2 linked regions of the Stegostoma tigrinum genome follow. The protein of the gene in region 1 purifies or fractionates together with the protein of each later gene. This does not show direct contact. Links are inferred from orthologs where the notes say so. Each region holds a gene or a part of one and is shown in the gene's direction. Other genes may lie near its edges. The genes, in order: probable ATP-dependent RNA helicase DDX17 and drosha.

Region 1 (16,199 bases):
GATAAGCATATGGATGATGATGGGATTGTGTAGGGGGATGGGCTTAGATTAGTTCACAGGTCAGCGCAACATCGAGGGCTGAAGGGCCTGTTCTGCGCTGTATTGTTCTATGTTCTATGAAACTTCAACCGCCTGGTCAAGTTCATTCCCCAGGTCCAGTCTGGCCCCTTCCTGAGTTGGACTACTTAAATACTGCTCTATAAAACCCTGCTGGATGCTCCTTACAAATTCTACTCTGTCTAAACCCCTAATACTAAGTGAATCCCAGTCAATGTTGGGAAAATTAAAATCTCGCATCACCACCACCCTGTTGCTCCTACATCTTTCCATAATCTCTCTACATATTTGTTCCTCTATCTCACGCTCGCTGTTGGGGGGCCTGTAGTAAAGCCCCAACATCGTTATTGCACCTTTCCTATTTCTGAGCTCTGCCCATATTCCCTCACTGCTCGACTCCTCCAGTTCCCTCCTTTAGCATAGCTATGATATCCTCTTTGACCAGTAATGCAACTTCTCCACCCCTTTTAACTCCCCGTCTATCGCACCTGAAGCATTTATATCCTGGGATATTTAGTTGCCAATCTTGCCCTTCCCTCAATGAAGTCTCAGTAGTAGCAATAGCATCATACTCCCAGGTATTAATCCAAGCCCTAAATTCATCTGCCTTATGTACTACACTTCTCACATTAAAACAAATGCACCTCAGACCATCTGTCCCTTTGTGTTCATCATCTGCTCTCTGCCTACTGTTCCCCTTAGTCACACCTACTTAATCATCTAGTTCCTTACAGGCTTTAGTTACTACCTCTTTACTGTCCACTAACCTCCTCATTTGGTTCCCATCCCCCTACCACATTAGTTTAAACCTTCTCCAACAGTGTTAGCAAAAGCACCCCCTAGGATATTGGTTCCATTCTTGCCCAGGTATAGACTGTCCAATTTGTAATAGTCCCACCTCCCCCAGAACCGATCCCTATGTTCGAAAAATCTGAACCCCTCCCTCCTGCACCATCTCTCAAGCCACTCATTTATCCTGCCTATTCTTTTATTTCTACTCTGACTAGCACGTGGCACTGGTAGCAATCCTGACATTACTATTTCTGAGGTCCTACTTTTTAACTTAGCTCCAAACTCCCTAATTTCTGTTTATCCCATTTATTACTTATATCATTGGTGCCTATGTGCACCACGACAGCTGGCAGTACAACTTCGCCCTTCAGAATGTCCTGCAGTCCATCTGAGACATCCCTGACCCGTGCACCTGGAAGGCAACATACCATTCGAGAGTCTCATTTTCGACAACAGAACTGCCTGTCTACTCCCTTTACAATCGAATCCCCTATGACTATAGCCCTTCCACTCTTTTTCCCACCCTTCTGTACAGCAGAGCCAGCCCCAGTGCCAGAACCTGGCTACTGCTGCCTTCTCCTGGTGAGCCATCTCCCCCAACAGTATCCAAAATGGTATCAGAGATAATGGGAACTGCAGATGCTGGAGAATCCGAGATAACAAAGTGTGGAGCTGGATGAACACAACAGGCCAAGCAGCATCTTAGGAGCATAAAAGATGACATTTCGGGCCTAGACCCTTTCTGATGAAGTGTCTAGGCCCGAAACGTCAGCTTTTGAGCTCCTAAGATGCTGCTTGGCCTGCTGTGTTCATCCAGCTCCACACTTTGTTATCTCCAAAAGGGTATACCTGTTTTGGAGGGAGACTACCGCAGGGGACGCTTGGACTGCCTTCCATGTTTTTCTCTGCCTTTTGGTCACCCATTCCCTTTCTCCCTCAGCAATCCTGATCTGCAGTGTGATCAATTTGCTAAACGTGGTATCCATGACTTCCTCAGCATCGCGGATGCTCCAAAGTGAGTCCATTCGCAGCTCCAGAGCCATCATGCGGTCTAACAGGAGCTGCAGCTTGACACACTCGCTGCACGTGTAGAAGTCAGACATCAACCATGTCCCTGAGCTCCCACATAGAGCAAGTGAAGCTTAACATGAGTCTGGGATCTCCTGCCATTTCAACTTTTAAGCTTAGCTTAGACCTACCATAATATCAAATAATAGATAAATGAAATGAAAAAAATTTTACCAATCACTCTACTTACCAGCACATGATAAAAAAAAGAAAAAGGAAAACCTTACCTTATCAACACACCGCACTGGTTTTTTTTGGTTAGAGGAGGAGGGCATGTGGGAGACACTACACGTGTAGTGTCTCAGGTTTAGCCACTGCCCAAATATATCAGTTCACTCACTGGGTGGGAGCGCAATTCGACTGCTCCCACCCAGCTCCGCTGCTGAAATGAACAGCTTACCTTCCCAGCGGCCTCCTGGTCCTTGCTCTCACCACTCCTGCTGCTGCTGCAAAAATGGAGTGGCTCAGTATTTATTGCCATTCCTTGTTGGCTTTGAAAAGGTGAGCTGCCTTCAGTTTAATTATCCTGATCAATTTGTACTATGTCCTTTCACAGCTGACACTCTTCCTGAGGTCCAAATACAGTATTGCAAAAGGAATTTGTCCAGAGCTCTGTACATTTGTTAATATACCTTCTACTTTATTGTATGGAGGCTGACATTTTATTAACCTTTCAAATTATTATTTTGTACCTATGATTTCAGTATGTGAATCCCTAAATCTCTGCTGCTCCAGTCGTAATTGGGCTTGGCTATTGGGGCAATGATTTTAGATTGCAGGTGACAGAAATCTAAGAACCATAGAAAGCAGTGAGTAGGATAGTAGCGGAAACAAACAGAAAAGAAATTCAGGAGAACTCAGTAGGTTTGGCAGCAAATGTGGAGAGAAAGCAAAGTTAAACATTTTTACCGCTGTGATCCTCCTTCAGAATTTTAAGAAAAGTTGCAGGACTTTAAACGTTAGCTCTGTTTTTTTTCGCTCTCCACAGATACTGCCAGAGCTGCTGAGATTCTCCAGCACTTTTTGTTTCAGATTTCCAGCATACGTAATTCTGTTTTATTATTATCAGACTTTAATAAAGAATGACAGACTGGTGAAATAGGTAATCATGTGGAATATACTGACAAGAACAGTGAAGTGATACTTTTGGATTTCTATGTTGTATGGTTTGAACCAAAATCATTAAAAACAAGTTAATTTCTCATATTTAGTTCACAGGTTGGCGCAACATCGAGGGCCGAAGGGCCTGTTCTGCGCTGTATTGTTCGATGTTCTATGTTCTATATTTCACACACCCTAGCCCCCTTGTAGACCAACATCATTTAATTATCATTTCAACATTTATTCCCTTTTTGCCTGTTCATTGTAGTTGACAAAATTGATGATTATTTGCTCTTCTCAACTGGACACCACGATCTGATCAACTTGTTCTTGATATCTCACAATGTAATCTAACTCCATGTAGTCATTGATATACAGACAAAAAGTGTCCAAAAATAGCAATTTGAAAGTGGAACAATGTGGATGACAAAGTGCTGATTTTTGGGGAATTTCAGCAGTGACTATCCAGCACTCTGACAACTCCAACCACTGCTACAGCCAGGCTATCAATGTTCTACGTTTTACTTCCTATGGAACAATCTCCTACATGGCACTACATTAACAGGCTTGGTGAAATCTATCTAAAAAAAAACCATGGAGTGCCTTTCAGTCATAAGCTTTGATATTTCCTAACAGTTTAGTTTCTTCATTTTTGTCAGGAGTCATGTATTAAGTAAAGACAACAAGTGAATCTCCTGAAGAGAATAAAAAGTGTGGGGGCATTCTTAAGAGGGAAGTCAGGAGGGCATTTGGGAATATGAGATTGTCTTGACAGATAAGCTTAAGGATAATTCAAAGAGATTCTACAGGTACATGAAGAGCAAAAGAGCCTCTAGGGAGAAAATACAAATCAAGGTCATATATATGTGGAACCATAGGAGATTGGAGAGATACTAAATGAATATTTTGCATCAGTTTTTACAGTGGAGAAAGAAATGGAAACTCAGCAAAATAAATATTGATGTCTCGTGAACAGTCTACATTACAGATGAGGAACTGCTGGAGGTCTTAGAAAAACATAAAGGTGGATAAATCTCCACAACTTGATCAAGTCAATCCGAGGATGTTATGGGAAGTTAGGGAAGAAATTGCAGGCCGCTGGCAAAGATATGTGTGTCATCTACAGCCACGGGCGAGTTGCCAGAGGATTGGAGGGTGGCTGATGTTGTGCTCTGAAATAAGAAAGGCTGGAAAACCAGGAAACTATAGACCTGTCAATCGATGGCATCAGTTGTTGGAGGGAAAGAATTTGCATGCATTTGGAGCAGCAAGGACTGATTAGGGATAGCCAACATGTCTTTGTGTAGGGAAATCATGTCTCACAAATATGATTCAGTTTCTTGAGGATGTAACCAAAAGGACTGATGAAGGCAGAGTGGTAGATGCTGTCTACATAGACTTCAGTATAGCCTTTAAAATGGTGCCACATGGTAGAATGATGAATAAATTAAATCACATGGGATTCAGGGAGAACTTGCCAATTGGATGCAAAATTTGCTTAATGGTAGGACACGGAAGGTGGTAGCAGAGGTTTGTTTTCACCAACAGCATTCCAGAGGGATTGGTGCTGGGTCCACCTTTTGTTTCTTACTTATATTAATGATTTAGATGAGAATTTATGAGGCATGATTAGTAAGTTCGCAGATGACACCAAAATTGGTGGTGCAGTTGAGTGAAGAAGGTTATTGAAGATTCTGAAGGAATCTTGATCAATTGGGCCAGTGGAGTGCGAAGTGGCAGATGGAGTTTTAATTTGGATAAGTGCAAGGTTTTGCATTTTGGTAAAACAAACAAGGGCATGACTTATACAGTGAATGATAGGTTCACAGATAGTGTTTTTGAACAGAGACCATGGGGTTCATAGATCATCATAGAATCCCTACAGTGTGGAAACAGGCCCTTCAGCCCATCAAGTCCACAGCAACCCTCAGAGCATCCCACCCAGACCCATTCCCCATAACCCACCTAATCTGCACATCCCTGAACACTGTGGGCTATTTAGCATGGCCAATCCACCTAGCCTGAACATCTTTGGACTGTGGGAGGAAAACTGGAGCACCCAGAGGAAACCCATGCAGACAAGGGAGAATGTGTGAACTCCACACAGTCGCCTGAAGGTGGAATTGAACCCAGGTCCCTGGTGCTGAGAGGCTCCCTTGGTTCAGGTACATGGTTCTTTGAAAGTCACAGACAGGATGGTTAAGAAGGCATTTAGCATACTTGCCTTCATTGCAGTGACCAGTACAGGAGTTGGGATGTCATGTTAAGGTGCTACAAGACATTGGAGAAGCCACTTTTGGAGTACTCTATAAGGTTCTGGTTGGCCTGTGGTAGGAAGGATATCATTAAATTAGAGAGGATTCAAAAAGGTTTACCAGGATATTGTCGGCACTGGAGGGTTTGAGTCGTAAGGATAAGTTGGATGGCTGGTACTTTTTTCACTGGAATGTAGGACGTTGAGGGGTGACCTCATAAAGGTTTATAAAATCATAAGGAGCATAGACAAGGTGAATAACAAGGTCCTTCCCCAATTGTGAGGAGTTCAAAACTGGCCAGCATATTTTTAAGGTGGGCAAGAGAAAAATTTAAACGGGATCTGAAATACAACTTTTTCACAGAATGGTTCGCATATGAAATGAACTGACAGATGAAGTAGTAGAGGCAGATACAATTACAACATTTAAAAGAGATTTGGATAGGTACATGAATAGGAAAAGTTTAGAGGGATATGGCCCGAGCGAAGGCAAGTGGGACTAGACCAAAGTGTCTGTTTCCGTGCAGTATGACTCGATAGTGTCTTTTCTGCAGCCCCCTCACACCCCTTACTATTGGGGCCTTTGAATCTAATTCTGGATCTGATTTAAACTCAGGCTGTCATCCTGGTTACAAGTGGAAATCAGCAAATTTTGGAAATGCTGGCTCCACGATTTCAATACCAACATACAAATTAGGTACAGGAGTCGGGCATTTGAACTGTCAAACCTTTCTATCATTCCATAAAATCTTGGTTGATCTGACTGTGGCCTCAGCATAGCATACTTTCCTGTCCCCTTACCCTTAAATTATTGATGTGGAGGTGACAGTGTTGGACTGGGGCGGGCAAAGTCAGAAGTCAAACTACACCCAGGTTATCATCCAACAGGTTTATATGAAATCACGAGCTTTTGGAGTGCTGTTCCTTGGTCAAGTGAAGTGTTATTCCTGACAAGGGAGTCAATCGACCTGCATTTTAAGAATTTTCAATATGTTTATATTATTTTATAAATCCATCTCGTTGGAATAGAGTTCCATGGATTTCCAGTCCTGGGAGATCACTGTTCCCATATAGGACAGTTTAATTTTACACTGTATTTCCTAATTCCAGTCTTCCTGAGGGAAGGATTCTTTCCATTCACCCAATCAAAATCCTTCTGAACTGCCACAGAGATAGTACGAACTGCCGATGCTGGAGAATCTGAGATAACACGGTGTGAAGCTGGATGAACACAGCAGGCCAAGCAGCATCAGAGGAACAGCAAAGCTTGACGTTTCGGGTCGGGACCCTTTTTCTGAAGAGTCGGGACGCGAAACGTCAAGCTTTCCTGTTGCTCCGATGCGTTCATTCAGCTTCACACCGCGTTATCTCCTTCTGAACTGCAATCGATTTAGACGCACACTTTCCGCATGAAATAGCCCCTTCATCCAGAAATCAAGTTCTGAGGAAGGGTCACCGGCCCCGAAACGTTATCTCTTTTATTTCATTCAAAGATGCTGTCAAATCTGCTGAGCTTTTCCAGCAACTTTGTTTTTGTTCCTTCCAGAAATCAAACTGGGTAAACTTCGGATAAACTACTTCCAGTATCATCTTTCATAGGTAGAGTATACAATAGTCCAAATGCGGTCGCACCAACGCCCTGGAAACTTCCTATATTCCATTCCCCTTACAATAAAACACCTTTGTGTTAACCTTCCAGTACTTAGCTGTTGACATCGCTTCCTAATGCCTTTGGAAAAGGTGGTGTTTAACATACACGCAACAGTTTCCTAAACTAAAACTACATGAAGTCAGAACTGGGCAATTAACAGTAGGTTTTGATAAACAAGCCTTATTTCGCAGGCCGTCCTTTGAATGCTCGAACAGACAAGGATGTGACGTTTCTGTTGCTAGGTAGACTTTAATCCGGCGGGAGGAGGAAGCGCGGCTGTTCGCGACAGGGGTCCGGCGGGAGGAGGAAGAGCGGCTGTTCTCGACAGGGGTCCGGAGGAAAAGGGGTGTTCCCGACTGGGGTCCGGCGGGAGGGAGAAGGACAGCTGTTTCGGGTTTCGGCGCGGAGTACGGCTGTTCCTGTTCAGGATCCGGCGGGAGGGGGCTGTTCCCAACCGAGAATCCAGCGGGAGGGTCGGCTCTTCCGGCAAGTTGCTGCTGAACCTATCGCAGGAACTGCGGCTTTTCTTTGTTCCCCGACGCCGAGAATCGAGCGAAAATGAGAGGATTCGGTGGAGACCGTGACCGCGGTAGAGACCGAGGAAGGTAGGAGGCTGAACAGGACCGCACACTTACCACTCCGGGTCAAAAGAAGCAATTTGCAAGGAGCGGGTTTGGCAAGGAAGAGGCCTCGCACTTCCACCAGGCCTGGTTTCTAGGTCTGTTGCCCCGCCTAGGCCAGGCGGCGAATCGTGGCTGCTGACTTTGCCACCCGTGATCTCTGGCGAGGAAGCATTTGCGCGTAGTCGTTTGACGGGGTCCGGTATTTGAGTGACCCCGGGGGTTGAGGGTGGTTGTGTTCTGGGTCCCTGTCCGCCCCCCGTTGATCGGGGTGCAGGGAATCTGGGCTTGTGTGTGCCGTTAAAGGGATCTGAAAGGTCGTGGACTTTGATGCCCAGGAATTAGTGGGATGACTCAGGAGATGTACCTCCCGGTCGAGATGTAGGTGCGATGCTTCGCGGCCTGTGTGCTGGCGAGGATGGGATGATGAATGTGGGTCTCTGTCAGCCGGCCGAAAGGAGGGTTCCGGAGTTCTTGCGGGAAGATGGAGGGGGTCCGGCTTAGCTAGTGGTCCCGCCTTCCGTTGGCACTGCACTCTTATTGGTCGGGGACTGTTTTCTCTAAATTTGATTGGATCTTTTTGGTGTCCGTCTGTCCCGTTTGGGTCTTGCTTGACAGGTGTTTGACCCAATCAATGTGACTCTAGCCCGACCTCGCCTTCTCGCCCGGTAACGTACGTCAATGAGCCGTTCAGCGAGGCCTAGTCTGAGCAGCCGTGCTGTGTTTCTCCATTACTGGCTTGTCTTTGGTTCAGCCATTTTACTGTCGCAGGCGTAGAGTCGCCCTCCCTGGATGACACGATGACTCAACCGTGACCTAATTCCTCCAGTCCTCCCTATATCACTTACCTGTTTAAGCCCCTCTCATAATTTCACACCTTGGCAATGTTTTTTTTTAATGGTTCCAATCTTCTTACTCAGGGTAGCCTATAGTACTTACTAGCTGTACTAATAATAAAATTCACATGTAACATCTGATGTGGGCTTCATTTGTGGATTGCTGGCTGGGTTGTAGTTGTACCTATTTCTGACTAAGACTCAACCTCCTCTCACTAGTAATGGCCCACGGTTTGGTGGAGGGCCTAGCCGTGGGGGCCCATCACTTGGGAAGAAATTTGGACAGCCTGGAGAACGCTTGAGGAAGAAGAAGTGGGACCTGGAGGAGTTGCCAAAATTTGAGAAGAACTTCTATGTGGAGCACCCTGAAGTGGTTCGACTAAGCCCGGTGGGTATCTGAATGGATCTAGTTGCAAAAGTTGAGTGAGTTGTTAACTGAGATGTAACTAACTTAATTTGATATTAGAATTTTGCTGTAATCCTGCGATATGAAATATCAACTGTTGATTTAATTTTGAGTCAATTCCTCATAAAATAACTATCTTTGTATCTAACTTTGCTTCTCATTCCCCTAATGTGGTTATCATGTGACCCTTCCTATTGTCTATTGTCTAAACTGTCACTGCCAATATCACAATTGTCAATTAGGAAATTAAAGGAAAATATCATTGTGCTGGAAATTGCAAGTATTGAATTGCTGTTATGAAAATAAACTTAGCAAAATAGCAGTCTTGAAGAAAGTAATGGTCGAAAGGAATGACAAATCCCAAGACCAGTGGTTTTCAAATTTTGTTTAATTGACGATACTGCATGGCCTTAACTGTGACGTTTTACAACTCTCTTGTATCAGAACCTTCCTTCTAAATTGAAAAAATTATGGCGATTTAAAGCTGAGAAGAAAGCCAGAAAATTCTGGACCAGTTAGCCTAACATCTGTTGGGGAAAATTGCAGGAGTTTTTTTTTAAAAACAATATACAACTTCAAAGCTTTTAGCTGATCAAATAACCCCACAGGTGAACAGTCAGTCATGACTAATGAATATAGGTCGAATCACCTACCTGTGTTCCGATTAAGCCTGCTCTACCATTCAAACAGATCGTTTCTGCTCAGTTCTCTCTCTGCCGTATTTTTCTGTTTGATATCATCAGTATCCTGAAACCTATTAATTTTTATAATGTGTGCTCTGGTTTCTACTGGCATGTGGTGTAGGTGAGTTGAATTTTTGAAGAGGTGATTAAAGTAAAGGAAAGAATGTCGTTGCATATGGATTTTTTTTATGTGGACTGAAGACATTTCATCAAAGATCGTCAAAAGAAATTGTTAACTGAAGTTGCAGCTAATGAAATAGAAGAGAATTATTGACCATGTTAGGAAATGGATTAAGCAGCAAAAAACGAGAGTAGGGATAATGAGCAGGATTAATGATATTTTGTAGGTGGTTTTGCAGCTTCAGCTATTCACCATCAATAATAATGACTCATGATGGGGCAGAAAGTCACATACCCAGATTTTGCCAATGATGCAAAAGAGAGGTGTCATTGTGAACAGTGTAGGTAATATCACAAAGCATGATAAAAAAAATTAATTGAATAGAGAAAACTGATGAATAAAATTAAATGTAATCAAACGTATAGTAATTCAATCAGGTCCTAAAATACTAAAATGGGTGACTTTCTCTGGATTGGAAAGCTAGAAGCAACGGGGTCCAGATCATTAGATTTCCTGAACAGATCAAGAGAAGCTGACGGACTGTTGACTTTTCTGACTATATAATATATGGGTTAAAGTGGCAGTTCAACTATACAAAAGTGTGCTTACACAGCAACCAAGTGCAATTGATAGTTCCTGGAACCATTGTGGGAAGGTTATCTTAGACTTCAAGAATGCAGAGACAAGATTTACCAAAATAACACCTATTTTAATTTAAAAGGCATAATTAGACAGCTTACCTGAAACTACAATATAATTACTTGCAATAAATAGAAATTCTTAAGCACAGAAATCTGTTTTGTGCTTTCTACCAACCTCGGACTGAAAATCAAATAAAGTGGGAATTTTGCCTACTTTTTGAAATATTCAACATTGCTGACAACTCCAGGAAAAGCAGGACTTAATTTTCAGCATATTACCCAATGAGTTGCGACAGCATGTAATCCCCTTAAACTTCCACTTACGTACACACTCTCACACACGCACACGTATGTGGGGTTAGGAAAGGTGGAGCATGGACTGAGGGAGTAAAGGGAAAGCAGTTTAGCAGTCTTTGTTCACAAGATCTGTTGAATTGGTTCTTGCTGGTCAGAAGGTTTCTGTGACCTTTTCCAATTCCTTCTGGTTTGCAAGAGGTGCAGGATGACTGATTTCATTTATTCGAGGTCCCTGACCTTCCAATTGCAGCAACTATTGAATGGAAGATAAAATAGATTTCTTTGGATTTAAATTAGGTTTTGACTACAGAGAACAGAAACAGCTCCTGAGCTGTTGGAGATCTGATCACTTCTCTGGTTGTTGTGCACAGCCTCAAGTTACTCGGTTATCGAAGAGCCAATCACACAGTTGCTAGCAAATGAAATGCCTTTGTCATCAGTCACTGATCATTAGTCTATAGACCAGTTAATTTCTTGCTGTTAACCAATGTTAAATACGGAACTTCTTAGATTCAGTTCATCAAAATCAACATGGCTTTATGCATGGGGAAATCATGTCTCACTGACATGATTTCAGTTTTTTGAAAAAGTGAAGATGATTGATAAAGGCATACCAGTGGATGTTGTCTGTATGGACCTCAGTAAGGCGTTTGACAAGGTCCTGCCTGGTAGGCTGGATGGCAAGGTTAGGTCACGAGGAACACGGGGAGAACTAGTCATTTGGTTACAAAATTAGTTCGAAAGTAGGAGACAGAGGGTGGTGATTACTGTGAACGTAGAACATTACAGCACAGTACAGGCCCTTCAGCCCTCGATGTTGTGCCGACCTATCATACCGATCTGAAGCCCATCCAATCTACACTATTCCATGTACGTCCATATGCTTGTCCATGATGGAGGATTGCTTTTCAAACTGGAGGCCTGTGACCAGCAGTGAGCTAGGTCTGTAGTTTATTGTCATTTATATGAATGATTTGGATGTGAATATAGGAGGAATGGTTAGTAAGTTTGCAGATGACACCAAAATTGGTATAGTAGACAGCAAAAAAAATGATCACCAATTACAATGGGATCACAATCAGAAGGGCACATGGACTGAGGTGTGACAGGTGGAGTTTAATTTAGATAAATGTGAAGTGTTGCATTCTGTTAAGGCAAATTGGGCAGGGCTTATACTTAGTGGTAAGGTCCTAGGAAGTATTGCCAAGAAAAGAGATCTTGGGGTGCAGGTTCATAGTTTCAGAAAGTGAAGTCACAGATAGACAGGGCAGTGAAGAAGGCGTTCGGTAAGTGCATTGAGTATAGGAGTTGGGAGGGCATGTTCTGGCTATACAGAATATTAGTTAGGCCACTTTTGGAATATTGTGTTCAATTCTGATTTCCCTGCTATAGGAAAAATGTTGTGAAGTATGAAAGGATTTACAAGGATGCTGCCACAGTTTAAGGGCTTGAGCAATAGGGGAGAGGCACAATAGGCTGGAGCTCTTTTCTGTGGAACATTGGAGGCTTATAAAATCATGAGGGGCATGAATAGATGAGTAGCCAAGGTCTTTTCCCCAGGGCAGGAGAGTCTAAAACTAGAGATCATAGATTTAAGGTGAGCGGGGAAAGATTTAGAAAGGATCTGAGGGGCAGGATTGAGCTGCCAGAGGCGGAGATGGAGGTTAGTACAATGGCAGCATTTAAAAGGCATCTGGATGGGTACATGAATAGGAACGGTTTAGAAGGATATGGACCAAATGCTGGCAGATGGGAATAGATTAATTTAAGTTACCTGGTCACCATGGATAAGTTGGACTGAAGGACCTGTTTCCATGCTGCACATTTCTATGATTCTATCTGCAGCCTAATCTTAAATTGCTGCTTGTTCAAGCAGCTCTTTAAATGACGCTTAACCTGAGTGTTAAATTACTTGCTTTTCAAATATGCAACAGTTGAGGTTTTGAAAAGTTTTTCTTAGATTGGTCCACTTAAAAAGGTGCAATCTTTACAATCTAAAGCAGCTATTTCTGCTCAATAGGGAGTCTAGGACTAGGAGTATTATATGAAGTTAGGTGTGGATGCATGAGAAAATGGGAAATGCTTCTACCCAAAATCTGAGAGAAGTTTCAAACTTCTGCAAATGATAATTGATACTCGAACTACACTTGACCTTTTCAGTTGAAAGGATTAAGGGACATGGAACAAATAGGCAGTTAGGTTTCAAATCACCATGACTTGATAGAATGGTGGAGCAAACTGGAAGGGCTGCATGAGATCTGTGCTGGGGTGGCAACTGTTTACAATATGTTGATGACATTGAGTAAGAAAGCAGATGTACTGTGGCCAAATTTGCAGATAGAACATAGAGCAGTACTGGGCCTTTGGCCCACGATGTTATGTCAAACTTTTACCCTAATCCTAAGGTCCATCTAACCTCCACCTCTACCTTATAGTATCATCCATATGCCTATCTAATAGCCTCTTAAATGCCCTTAATGAGGCCAACTCCACTACCCTCTCTGGCAATGCATTCCACGCCCTGACCACTCTGAGTAAAGAATCTACCTCTGATGTCTCCCCTGTATCTACCTCGGCACACGTTAAAACTATGCCCCCTCGTAATAGCTATATTCACCCGAGGAAAACGTCTCTGGCTGTCCACTCTACCTATACCACTGATCATTTTGTACATCTCTATCGAATCGCCTCTTATCCTTGTAAAGAGAAAAGTCGTAGGTGCCTCAACCTTTCCTTGTAAGACCTCCTCTCTCTTCTCCTCCACACCACCCCCACTCCAGGCAACATCCTGGCAAAGATAATGAAATGTGAGGCTGGATGAACACAGCAGGCCCAGCAGCATCTCAGGAGCACAAAAGCTGCCGTTTCGGGCCTAGACCCTTCAGAGAGCATCTGCATCTGCAGTTCCCCTTATCGCTGATACAACATCCTGGCAAATCTCCTCTACACCTTTTCCGACGCTTCCGCATCTTTCTCGCAACGAGGTGACCAGAACGGGACACAATACTCCAGATGTGGCCGAACCAGGCTTTTGTATAGCTGGAGCATAACTTCATGGCTCTTGAACTCAGTCCCTCTGTTAATTTAAGCTAATATATCATACACCTTCTTAATAATTCCATCTGCCTGGGTGGCAGCTTTCAGGGAACTGGGGACATGAACTTCAAGACCCCTCTGCTGTGCCTTTTGGAGGGGAGCAAGAAAGAACTGTATTAGCTAAATTAGAGAAAAACTGCAGAACACTGCAACATACTTGGTGGTACTTGTCCACAAAACACAAAGCTAGCGAGTAGGTACAAGAAGTAATCAGGAAGGCTAATGGAATGACTTATTTCATGAGATTTGGAATGTAAGCTTAGAGATCTCTCAGTAGAATTGATCTTTCTCTGAACCTTCTTTGTAGCTGTAGCACTATATTCTGCATTCTGTTCCATTACCCTGACATACTTGTGTAAGGTATGATTTGTCTGGATGGCATTTAAAACAATACTTTTCACTGTATCTTGGTATGTATGACAATAGTAAATCAAATCAAATCAACTCTTTCTGCAACTCTCCAAGGTGCTGCTGAGATCAGGGTCCCCTTATTTAAGGAAAGATCTTATTTCATTGGAGGCTGTGCAGAGAAAGTTCACTAGGATGATCACTGGCATGGATGGATTGTCTTATGAGCAAAGGTTAAACAAGTTGGGACTCGACTGCTTGGAATTTAGATTGAGAGCTGATCGCATTTCAAACATAGGATTCTTAAGGGGCTAGATACAGTAGATACTAAGAGGATGTTTCATTTCAATAGTTTCAGAACAAAGGGGTGTCAGTTTAAGACTGGGACGAGGAGGAATTTCTCCTGAGGTTGCAGGTTCTGGAACCTTTGAAGTAACCTCGGCATTTTTTGCAAATTATAAATCTTTTGAACTGTGGGAACAGAGTACTTGTGTATATAAACAAGGCTGAAACAGATTCCAAGGAAGGACAGGAAAGTAGACATAAAGAATGTTGGATCAGCTGTAGTCCTATTGTATACCAGAGCTGGCATGATTTATTGAACAACCTACCCTTTTTTTCCTTTTTTAAGACCCAACAGCATTCATATTTATGCCACGTGAGATGCACCCTTTTGAAGTGAGGTAGTTGTTGTTTGGGGCATTCTAGCCATTTTCAGCAGAGGAAGATACAGCATTGTAACAGATCACAGTTTTGGATGACATCCTTTAAACTATGTGGCATGTACCAGAAAATTATAGATCCGTTTGAATAGAACGGTTAGTGTAAAATGAAATTAAATGCCCATTTGATGTGATGAAATCTATTGGATAAAAGAAGCATCACCTTTATCTTTGAAAATGAGGAATTGAAAGGGGTAAATGTTATGGGCGGCACGGTGGCTCAGTGGTTAGCACTGCAGCCTCTCAGCGCCAGGGACCCAGGTTCAATTCCAGCCTTGGGTAACTGCGTAGAGTTTGCACATTCTCCGCGGGTTTCCTCCGGGTGCTCTGGTTTCTTCCCACAGTCCAAAGATGTGCAGGCTAGGTGGATCAGCCATGCTAAATTGCCCATGGCCTTCAGGGGTGTGTGCGTTGTATGGGGATGGGCCTGGGTGAGATGCTCCAAGGGACGGTGTGGACTTTTTGGGCCGAAGGGCCTGTTTCCACTCTGCAGGGAGTCTAGACTAATCTAGTCTAATCTAACTAACTGAGGAATTCAGTGAGGTAGAAGAGGAAAGAAGTGTTGTGATGGATTTAAATAAATCATTGAAATTAACATGGTTTAGAAAAGGTGGATGCTGGGAAGTTGTTTCCTTTAGGCGGGGAGACTAGGACCCGTGGGCACAGCCTTAGAATTAGAGGGGGTAAATTTAAAACGGAAATGAGGAGACATTTCTTCAGCCAGAGAGTGGTGGGTCTGTGGAATTCATTGCCATGGAGTGCAGTGGAGGCCGGGACATTAAATGTCTTCAAGGCAGAGATTAATAAATTCTTGATCCCGCAAGGAATCAAGGGCTACAGGGAGAGTGCAGGGAAGTGGAGATGAAATGCCCATCAGATATGATTAAATGGACCCGATGGGCCGAATGGCCTTACTTCCACTCCTATATCTTATTGTCTTATGGTCTTAACGTCTTGGCTCAGTAAAGCAGTAAACAAGAATTGTAATTTATTCCCCAGCTTGGGGTCTTTTTCTCTAGAAGCAAGAAACCTTCGAAGTAACCTCAGCATTTTAAAAATTATAAATCTTTTGTACTGAGTAGATGTGGAGAAAATATTTCATGTTGTGGCTATAATTGCGAGACAGTTATGTAAGAATAGACTAGGAAAGTAAGAAAGGTGATTAAACGTAACCATGAGAGAAAAGAGGAATTATAAGATATGTTGGGGATTGAGATGAAATAGATAGAATGAGAGGAGACTTGTGGTTTATAAATAACAGCATAGACTCATGTAGTAAGATCATCTTTTTCGTATTCCGTGTACTTAATCCCTTTAATCCACATTCTGTCTTTGAAAATGTTCTAGGACCCTAAGGGAATAAATTGAGGAAATGGAGTCTGGCTTTTCAGTTTATGGAGTGGGAAGCTGCAGTTGAGAAAGATAAAATGTTCTAATGTTGATTAATTTGATTTGTCTGCTGTCAGGTCTTTCTGTTTTGTGCTTATCTGCTCTGTGCCTGGAAGA
Region 2 (16,819 bases), on another chromosome or scaffold:
CATAACATCGTGGGCCGAAGGGCCTGTATTGTGCTGTACTGTTCTATGTTCTACTGGACTTGAAGATCATAAAATATAGACGCAGAATTAGGCCTTTTAGCCTAATGAATCTGCTTCACCGTTCAACAACGGTTGATATGTTTCTGAATCCAGAGAAGCCCAGTTCCGAGGCATGGTAGAGCCCAGAGTAGCACTCAGCTTGGACGTTGCCACACGAGCAGCGCAAGAGACCAGCTCCAGGGCATGGTTAATCTGCACCATCAGGAGCGAGGTCCAAAGAGACGGCGGCTAAGTCGGTGAGACAGAGCTGAGCTCTTGACCAGACCTCATCAGATGGACAAAACCGACCAAATTCCAAATCTATTGCTTTGATTCTTACTATTTATTCAGAAATCCAAGGTGGTGCCAGAGAGTGATGTCTCTTTGCACTTTTCACTGTATTCCAAAATACGTGACAATAAATCTAATTCAACCTAAACTATCTAATGTCCTTCAGGGAAGGAAACTGCCATCTTTACCTGGATTGGTCTACATGTGACTCCAGACCCACAGCAATGTGGTTGACTCTCAGGTGCCCTCTGAGCAATTAGGCTTGGGCAATAAATGCTGCCTGGCCAGCGATGTCCTCATCCCATTAACAAATGAAAAAAGATCTGTTTTAATTACAATCAATGACTTGGCCTCCACAGCCTTCTGCAGCAAGCAGTTCCACAAATTTACCACCCTCTCGCCAGAAAATTCCACCTCATCTCAGTCCTAATGAGTCATCCCTTCACTCTGAGGCTGTGCTCTCATGTCCTATTCTTTCCTACCAGTGGAAACGTCTTCTCCACATTGACCCTATCCAGGCCTCTCGGTATTCTATAAGTTTCAAATGAGAAACCGCACCCCCCAACCTCCACCGACCCCAATCCTCCCAAACTCCATAAAGTACAGGCACTGTGTCCTCAGCTGCTCCTCATATGACAAGCCCTTCATCCCTGGGATCATTCGGGTAAACTTCATCTAGAACCTCCCTTTAATGCCAGCACATCCATCCTTAGATATGGGGCCCAAAATGCTCACAAAAGTACAAATGTGGTCTGAAGGAGAAATACCTTCAGTCAGAAGGTATGGATCCTGCTATATCTGGAATGACAATAGCAAATTACAAAATCCTTACAGTGTGAAAACAGACCTTTTGCCCCAAGTCAGCACTGAACCTCATAACAGCATCTGACCCAGACCTCCTCCCCAACCCCCAACTACCCCATCATATTCCTGTAACCCTGCATTCCCCATGACAAATCCACTTCGTCTTCACATCCCTGGATACTATGGTCCATTTAGTATGGCCAATCCACCAAACCTTCACATCTTTGGGTTGCTCGAGGGAACCAGAGCACTTAGAGGAAACCCACACAGACATGAAAAGAATGTGCAAACCCCATACAGTAAGTCACCCAAGGGTGGGACTGAACCCAGGTTCTTAGCGCTGTGAAGCAGCAGTGCTAACCACTGAACTGCTGTGCAACCACAAATAATTTAGATACTTTTGAAAGGAAAGTACATGAGCAATAAAGTAATAGAAAGAAACAGAAGCTGAACAGCTGAGATGAAGCTAATGGAATGGGAGAGGATTTGTGTGGAACCCAGTATTCCAGCATGGATTAATTGGTCTGAATGGTCTGTCTCTAATTCGAAGGGAAATGTTTCAAACAGCGGCACATTTAATCTGTATTCAGGGGGCAGTTCTGCTCACAACACTGAAGACATTTTGTTACTTGTGAATGTGATGTGGGTGCTGTAACCAATCCTAACTGCCCTTTGAAATAGCAATTAAGAGTCAATCACATCGCTGCACACTTGGAGTCATATGTAGACCAAATTAGGTAAAAACCGCTGATTTTCTTCCCCCAAACAATATTACTGAATCAGGTGGGTTTTTATGAAAGTTGACCGTGGTTTCACTACTATAGAGACTGATTTAATTTAAATTCCACTAGTCGCCGCGGCAGGATTTGAACTAGTGCCCCCAGAACACGAGTTTGGATCGTCGGATTGCTAACCCCATGACAATACCACTACTCCACCGTCTGACCATGTTAGGTGGAGATCCCTCCAGGAGATACCTTTGGGAGCCATCAGGTGGTTTAGGAACTGGTCCAAGCAGCTAAAAGGCAAGTCACGTATTAACAATTGGGCACAAGCCACAGGAACAGGAGGGGTGAGAGAAAGATGTGATGTGCAGAAGTGAATGAAACAAGAAAAACAAGCTATCCAATCAATTTCAACTGAATAATTCAGCCAGAGATAGCAAGAACTGCAGATGCTGGAGTCAGAGACAACACAGCGTAGAATTTCTGAAGAAGGGTTCCAACCCAAAACGACAACTTTACTGCTCCTCGGATGCTGCCTGGCCTGCTGTGTTCCTCCAGCTCTACACTGTGTTGTCGCTTAATAATTCAGCCAACCCATTTTCACCTATTTAAGTTCCCATTAACAGCTTTTGTTTCTTCCTGGCTTACCTTTATCCATCCCTTTGTCAGCCTAACCATCTTCCTCTATAGGCTCTGTCTTCACTCCCACTTCCCACCCTACCCCTTTCCTTCTACTTTTTTCAGTGTAGATATCACCTTCACCTACCTATTAATAATTCTGAAGGGGCACTGGATCCAAAACATTAACTCTGCTTTCTCTCTCCACAGATGCTGCCAGACCTGTTGAGTTTCTCCAGCAATTTTTGCCTTTGTTTCAGATTTCCAGCAACTGAATAATCCCCCTGTCAAGAAAAATGTTGCTGCTTTATTGCAAAGTTATTTCATTTACCCAGGTATTGCTGCCCATTTTTGTATGCTTTCTTCACTGTCATCTTCACACAGATCTGCAAATGCAGCTTCCATATCTTCTAGCTGTCTTGTACGAGCTTCCACACAATCGATCAACGCCTCCTGGGGGGACAAGATATAGTTTTCAGATTTGTTTTTAACAATTGTCTTTAAATCAACGTTGCTAACATCAGAACTTCCTTGCTTTCAAAAACGTACCAACTCCTATACCTTCTGATACGTCCCATGCTTTGCTCTCAAAAGAAATTATTCTGTTAAATCCATCACATTTTAAATGGGAAGTACACTTTTCATGTTGAGATGTTTCACTGTTGGAGCAGGAGTAGACCATTTTTCAGCAGAGGTGTTGTGGCCCTCAGGTTAAACCACCATCAGTCATCTCTGTTCAACAGGACTGTGGTAACTTTTACACCCCAGGAATTAGTCTGCTTTTAGAAAAAAGGTTACTGCTCCCGAGCAAAATTGTAACAAAGTTGCTGGTCCATAGTTACAGTAGTGATTAATACTATCCTCATTTCCATCGAGAGAAAATAGCAGAGATTCTGTCTCTGTCTGATACAGTCACAGGATATAAACACACTGAATTGGCAAGCATATTCTTTCAAAAAAATCATAAACAGCAAATCTCAACAGTTGAAAAACCTGCAAGAAAACATTTTTGTTTCTTCAAAATTAACATAGCCTCATGTTGCGCTAAAAGCAACTATATTTGATCTTCACCTACCTCAGAGTCTTCCTGATCAGGTTTGTTAAAACTATACAACTGCTTGAGAATTTCATATTCTTCCTGAGGGACAAGATGAAAGTGATTATGAATAAATACACTGTCAACAGCTTAAGCATGAAATGATGCTTGTTCTCATTTAACATCCCCTGTCTTGCTGCAGTATTTAGGTTGAAAACAATCCTAATAACAAATCTTTCTATGCATCCCTCTTTTAGCTTTTGTAAAGAAAAACCTTGCATTTTGATAGCACCTTTCATCAGCACAGGACAGGCTGAACCTATTTTACAGTCGGTGTAGGGTCTTCACTGCTGTACTGTGGGAAATTCAGCAGCCAGCTTGCACACAGCAAACTCTCACAAACAGTAACGTAATAACATTCAGATCATTAGCTTGAGTGATACTGGGTGAATAATAAATACTGGGCAGGACACCAAGGAAAGTACCAGTGATCCTCCCAGGATATGTCACAACCACCTGAGTGGGCAGGAGGGGCTCACTTCAACATCATTCACCCTAAACGCCTTAAAGTGCAGGAGCCAGTAAAAAGACGGGTGGTCATAGTAAGAATGTAATTGGATTAATAATCCCAAGCCCCAGGCTGACGTGCTGTGCAAACAGGTTCAAATCTCAGAGTGGCAGCCAGTGAAATTAAAAAATAAATCTCGAGCTAAAAGCTAACTTAGTGGCAACACATAACCACGGTTAATTGTTGTAAAGCTCCCTCTGGTTACCAATGCCCTTTAATTAAGGCCATCTGCCATCCTTTCCTAGACTGCCCTCTGTGCAATTAGGGACCAGGCAATATCTTGCATTGAATACGACTCTCCTTCAGAACAATTACCTGCTTGTTTCCCTTAAGAGTTCACATTCACAAGCTAATCCAATGGTTTCTTTTCCCTGTCCATATACGTTACCCCAACAACAAAGTGAAGCCACACACACAAGATGTGAGAAGATCATAGGTACGCAAAACAGACCAACAAAACTCTACTAGTAAACATACAGGTAAAGTTCAGAAACCTTTTGTCCTTAAAGCTAGAATTAAGAAAAAGCACCTCGGTGTACATTTCTTTAAATGGATTTTTAACTGAAAAGAAATCCAAATCAATATCCAGGATGAAAGCATCTCTTTTGTCCAAGACATGAAGAAGATCCTTCACGATTTCCTTCTCCGGCTGTTGGACAGTCTGAGGGCTTGTCGGTGCTGTGTGGGGTGGAATGGTCTCCTGTATGTCTCTCTCAGCTGTGGAGTGTGAAACTGGACAAATGTTGTCACCATTAGATCTGTCCTCAGACAGCTGATTGTTCTCTTTGGGGGCCGAGGCACACATAGGCCCGGGAACACCTTCTCCACTGGTGAAATGTTCCATTTTTGGTATTTTGCAGGCAGATGCTCCAATTTCCTCTGGTTCCTCACAGTCATCTCTGCTCTGCTCACCTGGGTCTATCGGGATGACCTGTAACCCTAACTGCTTCCTGTTCTCCAGCAAACTCTCCGACACGTACAATCCATCACTCAGAAAGTAGCTCTCAGCACTTGTAACCCTGATACGAAAACACAAAAAAAAATCAGAATGAAATAATCTTTGCACATTCAAATAAAACATATGTGTCACAAATGCATGTATTTTGGAGAAGACAAACTGGAGCTGGCAGCTCAAAAATGATTAGATTTACACATCCTCTGGATATCCTTCCTTACACCTCTCTCTCTGTTTCCTCCTAGAACCACTCCTTTGACCAGATTTTTCATGGCCTGGTTTACTAGCTCCCATGGTTTGATGCCTTCACTCCTGCAAAGCCCTGGGACACAATACAAGTGTAACTTGCTGTTGCTGTTTCAGTCCAGTATCTGTCATCCCTGGAAATGGCAACAGGGAGAAAGCGGAGATGTGCAAAAGCTTCCTTTTACAGACTGCTCACAAAATTGGGAATCACTAGTTTTGATTCTTTATTCTTTCACCGGCAAGGCCATCATCTGTTTACCATCCCCAACCAGCCTTTAACTGAGTGGTTTGTTTGGCCATTTCAGAGGGCAGTTAAAGCCAATTGCTGTGGGTCTGGAGTCACATGTGTCTCAGACCAGGTAAGGAGAGCAGGTTGCCCTCCCTAAATGGACATTACCGAGTCAGATGGGTTTTTATGACAATCGATGATAGTTCCAGCATCATGAATATTGAGACTAGCCTTTATTCCAGCTTCTTTATGAATATTAGGGGGTGCAATGACCTACTGGCATTCTTGCTAGACTATTAATCCAGGGACCCGTGTTCGTGTCATACCATAACAGATGGTGGAATTTGAATTCACTAGAAATCTGGAATTAAGAGTCAACGATGACCATGAAACCATTGTTGATTGTTGGAAAACCCATCTGGTTCTTTTGGGAAGGAAACTGCCATCCTTATTTGGAAATATAATATTGCCGTTCTTTCACTGTCACTGGGATAAAATCTTGGAATCCCTCCCTAATGGCATTGTGGGTCTACATACTGCATGCGGACTGCAATGGTTCAAGGAGGGACCTTGTCACCATATTCTCAAGGGCAACTAGGGATGGGCAATAAATTGTCGGCCTGGCCAGCAACACTCACATCCATTGAGAGCAAAAAGAATTTATCTGATCTGGCCTATGTGATTCCAAACCTACTGCAATGTGGTTGACCCTTAACTGCCCTCTAAACAATTAGGAAATTGCATTAAATACTGAGCTAGCTAGTGATGCCAACTTCCCGTAAATTAATTTAAAAAAAAAACTGAATTCAAATCCAACCATTTTCCATGATCGGATTTGAATCCATGCCCCCTCACCCCCAATCATTAGTCTAGGCCTACTGTTCCAATAACATTACCACTAGGCCACCAGCTCCCATCATGTGGGGAATTGAGAATGTACATCTGCGATCTGTTTATCATTTTGTAGAACAGCAGGCAAGACACTAACTGTAATCAATAGCACACTCAGTTCTCAAGACAAACACCGCATTCAACGCTCTGAGAAAATATTACTCTTAACCTGTATCTTAAATCATGACCCCTTCGTTTTTGAACAGCAACCTCGTATTCCAGATTCTGTCAAGGTGCCTCAGGGCCTTCAGTTTTCAGGCAAGTTGCCTCTTAAGTCTTCAAAACACCAGTGGATGCAGGCATAGCCTGGCCTACCTGTCACTGAATCTCACAGTTCACAAGAGGCCCTGTGGCCCATTGAATCTGCACCAAAACAAACCTATGCTAAATTTACACTAATTCCATGTTCCAGCGCTTGGCCCTTAGACTTTAGTGCTATGACATTTCAAGTGATCATTCAAGTACATTTTAAAGATTTCCTGATGAGCACATTTTAGGCATTAATCTAGTAAACCTTCTCTGACCTGTTTTTCAATGCATTTCTGTCCTTCTTTGAATAAGAAGTCCAGAGCTGTACACAATGTTCCAAAAGTGGTTTCACCACTGGCCGGTCCAGTTGAAGCATAACTTCCCGATATTCCTGTCACAGTAAACAGCTGCAATACCTGATGGTTTTAGTTGAAGAATCTCTACCAACAAAGAAGCAGTGTTTCCCATCGGTGATCTGCTGGGCCCACAGAGGGTGAAGCCAAAAGACGTCAGAGAAGTGGCCAGCGTAAACAACAGGCATGATCCAGTTCTCAATGCTCAGGTCTCTATATTTAGGGCAGAGCGGGGAGAAAAAAAAATTCTGATCACTTTTCTAAGGACAAATAAGAAACTGAAGTGAGAGAAACAGAACATTTGCTTCCATTGAACTAGATAATGGCATCACAAGGTGCTTCATTCTTGCTAAATTATTGTCAAGTCCCACAACTGAAAAATCTCCCTGATTGGAGAGTGTTTCCCAGATTTAAATATTGTCATTCCCAAGACTTGAAAGCAAGTCACCATCTACTTCAGTGTCTCGTCCAGCCTCCTTCCGACAGCACCTTCCAAAACTATGACCTTTACAACATTGAAGGGCAATAGGTGCATTGGAACACGATCACATGCAAGTTCCCCACAAAGCCACGTACCATCCTGATTTGGAACAATGTCATCATTCCTTCAGTGTTGCTGGATCAAAATCTTGCATCTCCCTCTGTATTTACAACGTGGATCTACCTACAGCAAATGGATTGCCAATGGTTCAAGACAGCTGCTTGTTAAGTTTCCGACCCACATCCCCAGAGCGTTACTTCGGGCTCTGAATTACAGGTCCAGTGATTATATTGTGATGCCATCACCTTTGGAACATCAATTGCTCTTCAACTGCGATAATTAATTACTCATTCTCCCAACCCACTGAACAGTAACTGTATCTATTTACCTAACAGGTTATAATTTGTAAAGGAGAGATTATTTATAGTTATTTCAACAAGGACAGAGACACAGATTATTCAGCATTTAAATGCAATAAAAGCCAAGTCACGTTACCCAAAAAGCAGCTCTTTATCAAACACACTATCAGCTAACATGTCAATTGGGATTAGAAGGTCTGGGTGTGAGTCCAGGTGAACCAGGGCTATATTTTCAATTGGCAAATGCTTTGAACCAATTGCTCGATAGATGAATGGTACCACCTGAAAAGACAAGAACAGAGAGAATGTCCCGAAGAAAGCTTAAACAGGAAGAGGGTGAGGTGAAATTAACATTGTTAAATTCTGAAACTTCAATCAAGAATCACCCAGAGTCACAGTCATGGCTAAACAACACATTTACCCCCCTTCCACCAACAGGAACATTCAACCAATTTCTTTGTCAAGGCCCCCTCATGAATACTAACATTTCTATCAAAGCTCCTCTCAAAGTTGTCTTTTTGACGAACAGTTGTGGTGGTGTTGGTGGGTGGGGCTGGGGCAGGTGGAGTGTAAAACATTGTTCAATCTTCACATTAAAGACGTCTGAAAATCTCAGGTGGAGATGGTGCCACCAATCCTTGTTGTATTTTTAATTCAAGGCATTGGGTCCTGATCTTGGGCCATCTGTTCCAGAGATAGGATCACTACCACTGCATAAAAAGACCATTCCAACCCTTCTGATAATCCTAGTCTACATGCTTATTAGTACTAAATGGTGAAGGATTAACCAGTAAATCTTCTTTGGCACAAAAAACACTTAACTTGGGTAAAAAGTAGTAATTTATTGCATTAGAAAGAAGATAACATGTTACATTAACCTGAGACTGAAACTATAATACACTGAGTATGGTTGAAAGCAGACCCAGGATAAGTATGGTTACTTCAAGACTGAGGAACTCCTCCCACAGACTCTCATGCTTACACACATACACACTGGGCTGTCTATATCAAAACTCATGTTACTAGAATCTGTCATGCTTTTCCTCTCAGCAATCATCATTTCATACATCTCTGTATTAAAATGATTTAGCTCACTCACATGGTCCTGGGAGTGCCCAGTATCAGAAAGCGTTGGGAGTAGCAAGTTGCATGACCGTTGTCAGGTAAAAATAAAGGAAGAACAACAATCCTGGGGTTCTAGCTCTGGAATGTTCAGTGAATGGCTTTACAAACCCAGGAAAATGTTCCAATTCCCAGGATAATGTTGCAATCACTGTGACAATGCTACAATACTTGGACAACATTCTAATTCATGGGATGTTGCAGTTCCAAGGACAACAATCCTGGGGCAAAGTTCTAATCTCAGGAATAATGTTACAATCCCAAGGGCAACATTCCATGTTTCAACGCAACCTTCCAGTACTGGGATAATGTTCCAGTTTCCAGGACAACCTCTCAATCCTTGGGGCAATATTCCAATCATTGCAAATAATGTTGCAATATTCAAGAAAACATTGCAATCCCAGGTCAATGTTACAATCACCAGGACAATGTTCTAGTCCTCAGGCGACCTTTAATTTCCAAGATACCATTGCAACCCCCTGGAAAACAGTCCTATTGCTGTGATAATTTGCAATCCCGGGGACAATGTTACAATCGCCAGGACAGTGTCCTAATTCCCAAAATAAAGTTCCAATCCCCAGCACAACATTCCAATACCCAGAAAAACGTTCTAATTCTTCAGACCACCACTCAATCCCTAGGAAAATGTTGCAACCCCCTAGGAAAACATTCCAGTTCTTGGAACAATGGTCCAACCCCAGAGGCAACCTCCCAATTCCTGGGTTAATATCGCAATCCCCAGGGCAATTTTCCATTTCTCGAGACAAAATTCCAACCCCTGGAACAACATTCCAATTCGTGGGAAACGTTGGAATTCCAGGACAATGTTCCAAACCCTGAGAAGAGGCCGCAATCCCTAGGGGCAACGTTACAAATCCCAGGACAACCGCCCAATTCCCTGGGGAAAATGTGGCAATCTCCAGGGTAAGGGTCCAATTCCCGGGAATGACACGGCGGGTGGGTGGAGAGGGACCGCTCTTACATCTTGATGATCCTCCACGACCCAGACGGGAAGCTGGGGGTAGCGGCGCAAGCAGCAGGTGACCCCGCTCATGTCTGCAGGGAGGACCCCCTCACTGCCTCTCCCTTAGTCCTCAGAGCCTCCGGGGGAAGCACATCCTCCGTCGGACCTCATCCCTCGACCTACGTGATTGGAGGAAAACGAGTCCAGCACCAGAAACGTGCCGACCTGAAGCAAATGCAAAAAGGCCCCAAGATTGCTTTAACGCTGCAGGATCGAATCTCCTGCAGGGCTTTACCTGCTGAGCAGCAAATGCTGCTACCTTTATGTTATATATATAAAAAAAACAAAGACCTTTATGCTCGTGTTTGACCATTTATTGAATTTTGCATCGATCCGAGTCCAATCCTAAACTTTAAATCGCTTCCGTTTGTGTGAAGATTGCAGTTGACCCCAGTTGTGTTTTCATGGACACATATTGAAATAACATGCAATTTCTAAGAGGCTGCTTAAACATTCCCTGTTGCCAACCCAGTGTTTGCAACCAGGATCGGAGCATGTATCCGCCGGAATGTTGCGGGTGTTTCTTTTTCTCTCCGGCATTGTGACGCCGCCATGTGTCTGTGAGGAGCCAATGGGGACAGAGCATCGGGTCTGCTACTTCCGAGAGTTTCCGTCTCAGCTTTCTCCTCCGCTTCCTGTGCCTGAGGGAGAAAAAATACACCGCCAGCAGCTCGTGAAGTGTAAGTCCCGCAGCATTGACTGAAATGCAACAGGTTATTTAGAGTGGGAGCGGGTTTGCACTGTTTGATCTAACGATGTAGGGGCGCCGTGCAGCTAATGCGGTGGGGTGGAAACAGTAACAGGGGAGGGAATTGCAGCGTTGTGGAGAGGAACACACACGATGTCACTGCAATCACTGATACACAAAAAAAGGAGGCTGAATTAGTGGGATGATTAGGGAAAAAAATGTTTTATCAGTGTTTAATTCCTCAGGGCATTGTGACCATTGATTGCTTGTTCTTGGAGCTTCCTCTGCGCAAATAGTGTGTGTTCCCTACGCTACAACAGGGACCGCATTTCCACACCATCACGGTGAAGATGCCACATCAGTGTAGTTTCTTCTCCCTGCTTCTCTGCCCCAAACCTCTTGAAGTTTCATTGCCTCTCCCCTGGAGTTACCCACTGTGTTGATATGCAGCCCTCTGCTGCAAGACGTGTAGTGAACATATTCGGTCGGCGTTGAACCTGTTTAAGTTGTAATTGTTGGTAGCTGGGAATGTTGTCTTATTGGACCGTTGTATTCAATGTTGCAAGCTGATTTTAGACCGCACACGAGGCTAAATTCAATTGAGAGTAGAAGTGTGCTGCACTCTTGCAGTGGCAGGATTCTTGGCAGTGTGGAGGAACAGAGGAATCTTGGGGTCTGGGCCCACAGATCCCTCAAAGTTGCTACCCAAGTTGATAGGGTTGTAAAGAAGGTGTATGGTGCATTCGCTTTCATTGGTAGGGGAATTGAGTTTAAGAACCGTGAGGTTATGCTGCAGCTCTATAAAACCCTAGTTAGACCACACTTGGAATATTGTGTTCAGTTCTGGTCACCTCATTACAGGAAGGATGTGGAAGCTTTAGAAGTAGTGCAGAGGAGATTTACCAGGATGCTGCCTGGACTGCAGGGCAGGTCTTATGAGGAAAGGTTGAGGGAGCTAGGGCTTTTTTCAGTGGAGCGAAGAAGGGTGAGAAGTGTACAAGCTGATGAGAGCCATAGACAGCGTGGATAGTCAGAGACTTTTTCCCAGGGCGGAAATGACTATTACGAGGGGGCGTAATTTTAAGATGATTGGAGTAAGTTGTAGGGTTCTTTACCCAGAGAGCGATGGGCATGTTGAATGTGCTGCCAGCAGTGGCAGTGGACCACTTTAGAGACTTTTAAGCAACTCTTGGATGGGCACATGGAGGATAGTGAAATGTGGCATGTGCAGGGTAGATTGATCTTAGAAGGATAACAGGTTTGTACAACATTGTGGGCCAAAAGGCCTGTACTGTACTGTGTTCTTTAACTTAAAAAAGGAGTTTGTATGAAATAATTTCATTGCAACCTGCTTGGATACAGATCATTTAAGGACATGAAGGTATAACCTCCCTTGACAATGTGGACGAACAGGCCCTGAATGGTACTCTGAAATACCACTTTTAAAAAGAGGTGATTGGAAGAAAATGTGGGACAAAGGACATTTTCTTCACCACCTCTGAAGATTTTCTGACTTGGTTTTCCTTGTTTTATGTTCTTGGGATGTGCATTGTCTGGCTGGGCCAGCATTTGTTGTCTATTGAACCCTACTTTCTATCACAGCTTGGAGACCACTGTCAGTCCTTAAGGTGTAAGGACACTCAGGGTGCTGTTGAGGGAAAGAGTTCCAAGATTTTGACCTGGCAGCAACAAAGCAACTGTGATGTATTTGCAAATCAGGATGAGGTGTGGCTTGATGGGGAATATTCCGGTTGAAAGTGTTCCTCTGTATCTGCTGCCCTTGTCCTTCTGGGTGGCCGAGGTCATAGGTTTGGAAGATGGTGTTGGAGGCTTGATAATTGTATTAAGTGGCATAAAGCAGCAAAGCACAAGGTTTGATACACACAATGAGCTGAATTAGTTGGCACTGGCCAGGATAAAATGATTCTTGGCCTCAGTGCCCAGGCTAGACCTGAAGAAGGAGAAAGTTTCATGAGTGACTTCCCCCTCTCTCTGCTAGTAATCAGTAGTTTTTCAATGATTGGACTTAAGACTGTGACGCTTAGCCAGGTTCAGCACACAGTTATGATAGACCAAAAAAAAACATGGGGTATATGTCCATAGGAAGGAGTTCAGAATATAAGTTTTGTTTACACTTCATGAACCCAAGAAAAGTAAAATGCTGAGGTTGATACAAGCTTGAATTCTTAACAGGATAACAAAGTGTGGGGCTGGATGAACACAGCAGGCTAAGCAGCATATTAGGAGCAAAGAAGCTGATATTTCGGGCCTAGACCCTTCATCAGAAAAGGGATTGGAATAATTAAGCAATTGTTTTGGACTGATGATAATGCAATGGGCCAAAGGGTCTTTTTCCTGTGCTGGAAGACCTCTGACAGTGTGGAAAATATCTAATCGCTGAAGGATTAATCCTCAGAGTCAAAAATATTCCTGGCATTTGTGTGCACAAGTGTCTATGCCCCTACCAATTTTATACATCTTAATTATATCCCTCCTAAGTGAGCGCAGCTTCAAGTAAAACAATTCCAGTCTGCCCAATCCCTCCGTAACTAAAACTCTCCAATTTATGCAACATCTTGGTAAGTCTCATCTGCACCTCTCCAGTGCTATCGCAACCTGCCTATAATGTGGAGCCCAGTGTTGTCTGAGAACCCATGCTGTCTCTTTCAGATGTGGCAACTGTGCCATGCATTGATACAGCCACTTGGATTAAAATTGCATCCACTCTGTTGTGGCTGCACGGGAGTCTCAATTAAGCAGAGGTCTCACCTGCCCGCCTGGGTGGATATGGAGATTCCATGCCTATATTTCGAAGAGGAAAAAGTGTGTTCTCTTCAGTTGTCTTGACCATATTTGTCCACAGCACACAGATTTTGTTCCTTTCCACATTGCTGTTTGTAGGAGTTGCTGTACACTAATTGGCTAATGTTTCTCCTATGTTACTGCAATGAAGTACTTTAAGAGTATTGAGCAGTACTGTGTTTTGGGACACCCTGTGGCTGTGACAGTACTATTGAAACTCATGCTAACATAAATTAGAAGCAAGAATCAGCTAATCAGCCCCTCAGTGCTGCTCCACCAGTCATTAAGATCACAGCTGCTCTGAATCGATTGTCAAATCCACATTCTTGCCTTCCCCTGAGAACGTTTCACTCTTTTGCTTGGTGAGGACCCATGTTGGCCTTAAATATTCAAGGACTTGGCTATTATTTTGGTAAACCTCCTGTGAACTGTCTCTACATTTTTACTTAAACGAGAAGACCAGTACTGTGCACAGTACTTCAGTGTCTTCTCACCAATATTCTCTAACTCAAATATAACCTCCTTACCTTTCAGGCCAAAGACGTGGCAGTGGGTGACCACATGGGTCCCAGCTATGCCTCTTTCTAGGGTACATGGAACATTCCTTGTTCCAGTCCCATTCCAGCCCCCACCCACAGCTCTTTCTCCGATATATTTGATGATATCATTGGTGCTGCTTCCTTCTCTCATCTGGGATTGGGAAAGTTTACCAATTTTGGCTTCCAGTTTCCACCTCGCTGTCACCTTCACCTGGTCCATCTTTGATTTCTTCCTTCCCTTAAGGCAGGATAGACTCGATGTGTTGAATGGTCTAATTTCTGCTTCTATGTCTTATGGTCTTCCCTTCCTCAATATCTCTCTGTCCGGGGATGGACTGGCCACTAATATCCGATACAAACCAACTGACTCCCACGGTTAACTTGACTGTACATCCCCACACCCCATTTCCTGTAAAGATTCTTCCCTTCTCCCAGTTCTTGTTTCCATTGCAGCTGTCAGAAACACCCATCTTCTTCCTCAACCAAGGATTCCAGTCATAGTTGACAGGGCTGTCAGCATGTCCAACCCACCTTCCAAACTTTGGCCCCCACCCCTTCAACAGTAAGGTCCCCCTTTTCCTCACCTTCAGTCCCACCAGCATCTACAGCCAGCGGACCATTATCCACTATTCCCACCACCAGGCACACATCTCTCCCCTCCTTTGACAGCCTTCCTCAGGGACCAATCCCTCTGGGACCCCCTGGCCCACTCTTCCTTCACTCCTGCCACACCCACTGCAGCCCTCCCGCACCTTCCCTGCCTACCTTTTCAGCATCCAAAGTCCCGAACATACCTTCCAGGTGAAGTATCAGCTTACCTGCATTTCACTCTGTCCAATCTACTGCATTCTCTGCTCACACTGTGGTCTTCTCTATATTGGGGAAACAAAGCATAGACTGGATGACCACTTTGCAGAACATCTATGTTATGTCCACAAAAAGACCAAGCTACCTGTTGCCTGCTCCTTCAACACACCATGTTGTTCCCTGGCCAACATCTTTGCGTCAGGCTTACTGCATTGCTCCAGCGAAGCTCAGCGGAATTGGGAAGAGCATCACCTTATTTTTTGCTCGGGAACTGCACGGCCTTCTGGCTGTGATATTGAGTTCTACAATTTTAGGGCTTGAGGCACCTTCTCCCATGTCCATACCCCCAACCCTTAACAAATCAGGACTTGTTATCACATGGTCTGCTGTTATACATATGTAATTGATAGCCACTAATAGTCCCCGTTAGCAGCCAATCATTCTCCTAGGTTGACCGTTATCCACTCGTTGTCTGTCAAACTATTCTTCTGTCTCTTTGGGCTGTATCTCTACCTATTGTTTACTCTTTACTCCCTCCACCCACCCTATTTGCTGCTGCAGTAAAACACTTCAAGCTATAATCACACAAAACATTAACTTTGACTTCTCTCCACAGATTGGCTGAGTTTTTCCAGCAATTTCTGTTTTTGTTTCTCTCTAATTTTATCTTAAATTCTCTTTGCGATGAATGATAGCATTCAATTAGCTTTCTGAATTGCTTGCTTTACCTGCAGACAAATCTTCTGAGATTCATGCACTAGGACACCCAGATCCTAGGCTAATATATTAGTTAACCAATCCTCTAACAGAAAACAAAGAGTGGGGATAAATGGGTGTTTTTGTTTTGGTTGGCAATAAGGTTAGTGGTGAGCCTTGGATCAGTGTTGGGACCTCAACTGTTGACAATTTACACAGATGATTTAGAGTTGGGGACCAAGTGTAGTGGATCAGTGTTCCCAGAAGACATTAAGTTGTGTGGTCGAGCAAAGTCTGTGGAGGGATATCGAAAGGCTAAGTGAATGGGCAAGGGTTTGGCAGGTGGAGTACAATGTTGGTAAATATGAGATCATCCATTTTGGTAGGAATAACAGCACAATTGACTATTATTTGAACAGTGAAAAATTGCAGCATGCTACTGTGCAGTGGGACATGGGTGTCCGCGTGTATGAATCACAAAATGTTAGTTTGCAGGTGCATCTGGTAATTAGGAAGTCAATTGGAATATTACCCTTCATGACTAGAGGGATGGAGTTTAAAAACAGGGAGGTTATGTTGCAGCTATATGGGGTACTGAGTAGACCACACCTGGAGTACTGTATTCAGTTTCATTGGTTGAAAAAGGATGTACTCGTTCTGGAGGTTCACTATGTTAATTCCAGAGATGAGAGAGTTGGTTTGTGAGGAGAGATTGAGTAAACTGGGACTATACTCATTGGAATTTAGGAGAATTGGGGAGTTCTTATTAGGAACATATAAAATTATGATGGGAATAGATAAGATAGAAACAGGGAGGTTGTTTCTGCTGGTGGGTGAAACTAGAACTAATAGGGCAGATTTAGGACTGAGTTGAGGAGGAACTTCTTCACCCAAAGGGTTCTGATCTGTGGAATTCCCTGCCCAGTGAAGCAGTTGCGCCTACCTTGTTGAATTTTTATGAGGCAAAGATAGAGAGATTTTTGAATAGAAAAGAAATTAAGGGTGATGGTGAGTGGGCAGGTAAGTTGGACTAAGTCTACAGAAAGAGCTGCCATGATTTTAATGAATGCTGCAGCAGGGTTGAGGGGCCAGATGGCTGCCTCCTGCACCAATTTCTGATGTTCTTAACCATCTACACCTCAGCTCTACCATCACACCATTTAGATGATATACTTCTTTGATACTTGATAATTTCAGTTTTCTAACATTATACTTCATTTGCCCAAGAAATTGCAGCCCGTCACCTATATTGTTTTGCGGCCTGATGTCCGTTTCATCCACCTATGGAAATCTTTGG

Evidence for each region.
Region 2: the proteins of probable ATP-dependent RNA helicase DDX17 (region 1) and drosha purify together in Homo sapiens (co-immunoprecipitation; 3 studies listed by IntAct, with this or other methods). This does not show direct contact. The link is inferred for Stegostoma tigrinum from reciprocal best matches to the Homo sapiens genes DDX17 and DROSHA.

Annotation. Positions count from the first base shown.
Region 1 is NC_081391.1:817,393-833,591, reverse strand, and holds the start of probable ATP-dependent RNA helicase DDX17, read left to right. Parts: upstream 1-7,272; 5' UTR 7,273-7,481; coding exon 7,482-7,528; intron 7,529-8,598; coding exon 8,599-8,767; intron 8,768-16,199. UniProt on the Homo sapiens protein: As an RNA helicase, unwinds RNA and alters RNA structures through ATP binding and hydrolysis.
Region 2 is NC_081355.1:5,188,947-5,205,765, reverse strand, and holds the start of drosha (ribonuclease 3), read left to right. Parts: upstream 1-10,564; 5' UTR 10,565-10,670; intron 10,671-10,677; exon of another isoform or gene 10,678-16,819. Other genes in the region: c2h5orf22 (UPF0489 protein C5orf22 homolog), read right to left, coding at 2,809-2,930, 3,553-3,615, 4,611-5,100, 7,068-7,217, 7,981-8,126, 9,949-10,020. UniProt on the Homo sapiens protein: Ribonuclease III double-stranded (ds) RNA-specific endoribonuclease that is involved in the initial step of microRNA (miRNA) biogenesis.